2 linked regions of the Macaca mulatta genome follow. The protein of the gene in region 1 purifies or fractionates together with the protein of each later gene. This does not show direct contact. Links are inferred from orthologs where the notes say so. Each region holds a gene or a part of one and is shown in the gene's direction. Other genes may lie near its edges. The genes, in order: IQGAP2 and RAC1.

Region 1 (3,818 bases):
GTCTCGTACAATGAAATGGGAAGACCAATAGTCTCTTTTTATTACTGTTTCCTTTTACAGACTATCCAAAGAGTGTTCCTTCATTTATTCATTTACTCATCGTTTGTTTGGGAACTTATGATATGCTATCTTATTCCCTTTGCTCAAAGAAACTTTGCAGGTTTTTCAGAGTTGCTGGTTTGTGATTCCCTTATAAGAATAAAGCTCTCTGACTGCCTCTGTTGGTTTAGTTCAGGACTCTCCATAAACATGGCTGATGTGTGAGAGTTTAGCTGGGTTCTGAACATTCAGGGTTCTCATAGCCACATTTCAATAGATAATCTAGTTTTAGTTTCCTCAGCTAGACTATCCAGGAATCGAAATCCTTCCATCTGGGGAATTACAAAGTAGCAGTTATCCATTAAAATATGTCCGTTACTATGGTGATTTGTCACTTTGGCAATAAAGCAGCTATTGATAATTGTTCCCAAATAAGGCTTGCTCTCAAAAAGATGAAGTAATTCCTTTCAAACTTCAAATCTCAGGAAGAACATGTTCTGGTTCTAGTCTTTGAACTTTGGCTGGAGGACTACTTTCATTTTGACATTAACTTGCATTGTGTAGCTTATGAACTGTGAAATTAGGGGATCAGAGAAAAATCAGCACCTTGATATTCTCTTTTCAGGAGGCAGACCATGCCACGGACATGGTGAGCCGTGCAATGATAGATTCCAGGACTCCAGAAGAAATGAAGCATAGCCAATCTATGATTGAAGATGCACAGCTGCCTCTTGAGCAGAAGAAGAGGAAAATCCAGAGGAATCTTCGGACATTGGAACAGACTGGACACGTGTCATCCAAAAATAAATACCAAGACATTCTCAATGAGATTGCCAAGGTTTTTGGAAACAGTATTCTTTCTTCTTCACTTAGCAGACATTTGCTAATCACCAGTCAAGTGCTGGGCACTCTGTGAGGTGGCATTAGGGATTCATGGTTGCATATGCTGTGGTTACTGCACTCTTCAATGTTACAGATTTTTAAAGGTTTCAAAGCACTTGATGACTTTTTTTTTTTTTTTTTTTTTTTTTTTGAGGTGGAGTCTCACTCTGCTGCCCAGGCTGGAGTGCAGTGGCGTGATCTCAGCTCTCTATAACCTCTGCCTCCCAGGTTCAAGCGATTCTCCTACCTCAGTCTCCGAAATAGCTGGGACTACAGGCGCACACCACCTCGCCTGGCTAATTTTTGTATTTTTAGTAGAGACAGGATTCCATCATGCTGGCCAGGCTGGTCTCGAAATCCTGACCTGGTGATCTGCCCGCCTCGGCCTCCCAAGCAGTTGATGACTTTTAAGAGAAAATAATCACAACACTTTGAAGTCATTAGGAGAGTTGAAACAGACCAGAAATAAATACTAAAAAATGTACTTGACAAGTTTGGTCTATACCTTTAAGCTAGTTTTAAAAATAACATTATTTGGAAGAGTTTTCTCCTGAGATGTTAGTTGTCATATAGCTCAGTTGCCTTAGAACCTGCCACTGAGATGAACTCTGTGTCCCAGATCATTTGTTTTTAAGCAATTTAACCTAAATGCAGTTCAGACTTGAAGATTAGTTTCTGTTTTCTTATCCCATGTTTTTACACTTGAGAAACTTCCTGAGCAAAGCGTCTCAACTTAGTGCAATGAAACATCACAGGAAGTGGCTGAGATCTGTTTGTCAAGGATAAGGAAGTATATATTTGGGTTAGAAGGATATTTCATTCTTTTTATTCAAACATGCAAATTAATATGGATCTAGAGGTTAAAGGCGGTTAAATGACCAGAAAAAAAATAATAAATTTTCTCATGTTCTAGGAGGGAAATGCGCCCAGCTTTGTTCTTTGATAGAAAGTTATGTTCAATTCTGGCAGTAGGCTTATTCCTTCTAGCCCAAGTGACTCAAGGGCAATAGCATTTCTTTCTTTAGTTTTGGGGTAGAAATATTTCTATTTGGGAATATGGGGTAGATAAATATATGCTTTTGCTTTAAAAAAGAAAAAGGCTATCATGAAGACATGATATTCTATTTAATGAATATTCTATTATATGAAGAATTTCTATTTAATGAAGAATTCTATTTAACAAAGAATATTCTATTCTAATATTCTATTCATGAAGAATTTTTACCTAAGGGCATGGGGAAGTTGTGGGGGGAGTGTATGTGTATGTGGGTATTTGTTTGAATTCCTAGGGGAATGGTTTTTAATTTGTCTACAAAAGAAAAACAATATTAAACAGGCATCATTTTCTTAAGTCAAACACTTTCATAACTTACCAATTAGAATTACCAAAAAAACTTATATCTGCAAGTTTAAATTTAGCATAGCTCTTGTAAGCTATAAGCAGCTTATGCAACTTAATGTTCTAGGAATTCTATTTAAAGCCAAGTAATAGTTATCAATGTTGAATCTTTTCACTCAGTCTTGACAGGCTAGTGTTGTTTTTTCAAACCTTGAGAAATATTTGTCAGATGAAAAAGTTTGTTCTTTTCTTATTTTAAAAATCAATTTAACAATTAAATGTAAACCTTTTTAGTTTAAAGTACTATTCAAAGAGGAATATTCAAAATAGTCTGAAGAGGCCAGGCACAATGGCTCATGCCTATAATTCCAGCACTTTGGGAGGCCAAGGCAGGCAGATCACTTGAGGTCAGGAGTTCAAGACCAGCCTGGCCAACATGGTGAAACCCTGTCTCTACTAAAAATACAAAAATTAACCAGGCATGGTGGCGCAGGCCTGCAGCCCCAGCTGCACAGGAGGCTGAGGCAGGAGAATCACTTGAAGCCCAGGGCATAGGTTGCAGAGATCAGGCCACTGGACTCCAGCCTGGGTGACAGAGTAAGACTCCGTCTTAAAAAAAAAAAAAAAAAAAGTCTGAAGAAATTGCATTTCTGCTGCTTTGTGCCCCTTTTAAAACACAATTTTTCCTTAAACTAAATGTGTAGTTATTCTAAAATAACTTATTTGCCTTTCCATCAAGAAAAAAATTAATGTTAACAAGTCTCTTAAAGTGAAATATGTACACTTTCCCGTTCTGAAGTAAAAAGGGATGGGAACCCTGTGGTGGTGTTGAGAGTAAAATAAGGTACCTGAAATAAGCTACAAGTCAAGTTACAAATAGTGACTTACTACTGCTTGATATTCTTCTTGTCCCAAATTGGCAATATCATAAAGCAAGCTTCTGCTTAAATATGATAGCCCTTACTTGTTGTTTTAGGATATTCGAAATCAAAGAATCTATCGTAAGCTTCGAAAAGCTGAATTGGCAAAACTTCAGCAGACCCTGAATGCACTTAACAAGAAGGCAGCATTTTATGAAGAGCAAATCAATTATTATGACACCTACATAAAGACTTGTTTAGACAACTTAAAAAGAAAGTAAGTTAAAATCATGTCACGTTCATTCGTAATGTCATGATTTATGAGATGTCAGTTCTGCATTTCTATGTATTTGGGTTGGGTATGGAAGAAAACTTTTTGCTCTGTCTTATAACTGAAAACTGGAGTCTCAGTTTTATTATTTGCCACTGTGAACTAAGAAGTCAGGAGCAAATGGAAGCTTTTCAATTCCCCACCAGCACTAGAATTAAAGTGACTTACCTGTTGCATATTGAACAAATAGCATTAGTAGTTGGGGAAGCACTTTCATTGTTCCTTTTGTCTTTTTTAGTCAAAGATTTTTTAAAATACTATTATTTTTAAAATCTCTTGTTTTTGGACTATATTTTGTATAATTGATCATGTTAGTTAATGCCAGATGTTTACTAATTGCACAGAGCAGCTGAATGTTTTTAAATTG
Region 2 (3,818 bases), on another chromosome or scaffold:
TAAAGTATAATAATAAATAAATTTTAAAAAAAAGAAATAAATACTTTAAAATATCACTTAGCCTAGGAATTTTCAGTTATTTAAATTGGTTATAGGAATTTGCTACTTAAGTACATGATTGGGTTTTTTATTCTTTTGAGACAGGGGTCTCACCCTGTTGTCCAGGCTGGAGTGTGGTGGTGACATCGGAGCTCACTGTAGCCTTGAGCTCCTGGGCTCAAACAGTTCTCCTGCAGTTCTCCTGCCTCCGTTCCTGTGTTGCTGGGACAGTAAACGTGCGCCGCTGTGCCTGGCTAATCTTTAAAAATTTTTTGTAGCGCTGGTTTTGTACACCCTGGCTGGTCTCAAACTCCTGGGCTGAAGTGATCCTTCCACTTCAGCCTCCCAAAGTGCTGGGATTATGGGTGTGAGCCACTGCGCCTGAGCCATCAGCAGTTTATTTTTATTTATTTATTTTTGAGATGGAGTCTTGCACTGTCACCCAGGCTGGAGTGCAGTGGCACGATCTTGGCTCACTGCAACCTCCACCTCCCGGTTCAAGCGATTCTCCTGTCTCAGCCTCCTGAGTAGCTGGGATTACAGGCGCCCGCCACCACACCTGGCTAATTTTTGTACTTTTAGTAGAGACGGGGTTTCACCATGTTTCCCAGACTGGTCTCAAACCGCTGGCCTCAAGTGACCCACCCACCTCAAACTCCCAAAGTGCTGGGATTTCAGATGTGAGCCACTGTGCCTGGCCTAATATGTGGATTTTTAAAGCTTCAGGTTCTGGTTCAGAAGTTTCCTGGACCTCATTAAAATAATGAGGCACTCAGAATTGGTCTAATAAAACTAACCACCATTTCTTTCTACTCCAGTCTCTTTCACAAACTTCTTAGTGAAAATGACGAGACAGGCCCTTCAGTAGGGACATTTTCAGTGGGGATAATGGCGGCAGACCTGAGACCTTGGGCTAGGTAGTTTATTCTCGTTTCTGAACAGATGATGAATTTTCTCAGATGACCCTAAGAACTTGTTTTACCAAAAACAAAGTGGTTTATTTGCTTTGGGAGGAACTCTCTTCCCTTCCGCCTCTTCCCTTGCGGTTGTAGAGCCCATTCTCTCTGGTCGTGGTTCTGTCCGGCCATGATCCAGAGTCCTAGCTTGCTCATGGAACACCTGAGATGTTTCTTATGGCTCAAGGCTCAGATTGAAGGTGGGAACCACATGAAGGCTCGGTGGGGAGGCTGTGCCTGAGGTTAGGTGTCTGGCACAAGTGCCGCCGGCTGGGTGTGATTTAGGTGAAGGGCGTCTGTAAAGGAGCACATCACAACCTCTGTTCCTTCTTCACATCTAGTGGTATCCTGAGGTGCGGCACCACTGTCCCAACACTCCCATCATCCTAGTGGGAACTAAACTTGATCTTAGGGATGATAAAGACACGATCGAGAAACTGAAGGAGAAGAAGCTGACTCCCATCACCTATCCACAGGGTCTAGCCATGGCTAAGGAGATTGGTATGGAATCCTGCGTTTTTCCTCTGCCTTGTACCTCTTTTATTGTAGTGACAGAGACTGGAGTCCAGTCTGGGAAAGGAGGGTGTGTGTCTCCCACTCAGGGCCTGGTTGTACTCTTGGGGAACCAGCTGGCATCGCCTTCTGGGTCTTAATGTCAGCGTTGGAAGGTGGACGCAGGGCTGGGAGCCGGCAGAAAGTGCCCAGGCCCCCGGAGCTGCCTCCCGCCGGTGTTGTGATCAGAAGAGAGTGGGCTCAAGTGTACACTGCTGTGTGGTTGTGTTTTCCTGTAGGTGCTGTGAAATACCTGGAGTGCTCGGCGCTCACACAGCGAGGCCTCAAGACAGTGTTTGACGAAGCGATCCGAGCAGTCCTCTGCCCACCTCCCGTGAAGAAGAGGAAGAGAAAATGCCTGCTGTTGTAAACGTCTGAGCCCCTCGTTCTTGGTCCTGTCCCTTGGAACCTTTGTACGCTTTGCTCAAAAAAAAAAAAAAAAACGGTGGAGCCTTCGCACTCAATGCCAACTTTTTGTTACAGATTGATTTTTCCATAAAACCATTTTGAACCAATCAGTAATTTGAAGGTTTTTGTTTGTTCTAAATGTAAGAGTTCAGACTCACATTCTATTAAAATTTAGCCCTAAAATGACAAACCTTCTTAAAGCCTTATTTTTCAAAAGCCCACCCTATTCTTGCTCAGATTAAGAGTTGCCAAAATACCTTCTGAACTACACTGCATTGTTGTGCTAAGAACACCAAGCACTAAACTGTGTAAGGACCTTCGTCTTTGAGAAGACTGTAGCCTCTGCAGTTAGGAGATGCAGACACTTGCTCAGTAGTTCTCAGATGTGTAAAGCAGAACAGCCTCCCGAATGGTGCGTTGCCATTGAACTCACCAGTGATTTAGCGGCCCATGTTCACGACATAACATTGTACTGTAATGGAGTGAGTGTAACAGCTCAGCTCTTTGGATCAGTCTTTTTGATTTCATAGTGAGTTTTCTGACCAGCTCTTGCGGAGATTTTGAACAGAACTCGTGTTTCCTCTAATGAAGAATTCTGTTTAGCTGTGGGTGTGCCGGGTGGGGTGTGTGTGATCAAAGGACAAAGACAGTATTTTGACAAAATACGAAGTGGAGATTTACACTACATTGTACAAGGAACAAAAGTGTCACGGGTAAAAACTCTAAAAGGTTAATTTCTGTCAAATGCAGTAGATGATGAAAGAAAGGTTGGTATTATCAGGAAATGTTCTTAAGCTTTTCCTTTCTCTTACACCTGCCATCCCTCCCCAAATTGGGCATTTAATTCATCTTTAAACTGGTCGTTCCCTTAGTCGCTAACTTAGTAAGTGCTTTTCTTATAGGACCCCTTCTTACTGAGCAATATGCCTCCTTGTATTATAAAATCTTTCTGATAATGCATTAGAAGGTTTTTTTGTAGATGAGTAAAAGTGCTTTCCATGTTACTTTATTCAAAGCTAATAAGTGCTTTCCTTAGTTTTCTAGTAACTAGGTGTAAAAATCATGTGTTGCAGCTTTATAGTTTTTAAAATATTTTAGATAATTCTTAAACTATGAACCTTCTTAACATCACTGTCTTGCCAGATTACTGACACTGTCACTTGACCAATACTGACCCTCTTTACCTCGCCCACGCAGACACACGCCTCCTGTAGTCGCTTTGCCTAATGATGTTCCTTTGGGTCTGTGAGGTTCTGTAAACTGTGCTAGTGCTGACAATGTTCTGTACAACTTAACTCACCGGCAAGAATACAACGCGGAACCTTTCAGCCACGACAACAGGATTTTTTAAATTGACAGTTGCAGAATTGTGGAGTGTTTTTACATTGATCTTTTGCTAATGCAGTTAGCATTATGTTTTGCATGTATGACTTAATAAATCCTTGAATCATACAACTGGTAATACTGGTGTTTTTGAGACTTGATGAACAAGTTCCTGGTGTGCGTTTGTTTGCCTCGCTTTAAAGTCCCGGGTTGTTGGAGACAGTCATTTTCAATGCATGTCTCCACACAGGAGGGACAGAGGGAGTGCCACCTCCAGGGGAGAACTGGGTGAGCCCAAACAATACGGCAGGAGTGGAGGTGACGTTCACGTTTGGACCTGTCGAACAGCGGCGAAGCTCTGGTGGAGAAACGTGCGTCGGGGGCTGTGCACATCCTGGCCCAGAGCTTGGGGCTGAAGATGCAGACGTTGGGACCCTAGACTGGCCATGGAAGAGTAGAGGTTGGTGAACCCCACACACCCTTAAGGTCCTTTCCAGAGGCTGGCTGGGTGGCTTACGCCTGTAAGCCCAGAGCTTTGGG

Evidence for each region.
Region 2: the proteins of IQGAP2 (region 1) and RAC1 purify together in Homo sapiens (affinity purification with mass spectrometry; 5 studies listed by BioGRID and IntAct, with this or other methods). This does not show direct contact. The link is inferred for Macaca mulatta from reciprocal best matches to the Homo sapiens genes IQGAP2 and RAC1.

What each region holds. Positions count from the first base shown.
Region 1 is NC_133411.1:83,058,676-83,062,493, forward strand, and holds part of IQGAP2 (ras GTPase-activating-like protein IQGAP2), read left to right. Parts: intron 1-664; coding exon 665-877; intron 878-3,236; coding exon 3,237-3,397; intron 3,398-3,818. UniProt on the Homo sapiens protein: Binds to activated CDC42 and RAC1 but does not seem to stimulate their GTPase activity. Associates with calmodulin.
Region 2 is NC_133408.1:44,608,680-44,612,497, reverse strand, and holds the end of RAC1 (ras-related C3 botulinum toxin substrate 1), read left to right. Parts: intron 1-1,336; coding exon 1,337-1,496; intron 1,497-1,786; coding exon 1,787-1,917; 3' UTR 1,918-3,407; downstream 3,408-3,818. UniProt on the Homo sapiens protein: Plasma membrane-associated small GTPase which cycles between active GTP-bound and inactive GDP-bound states.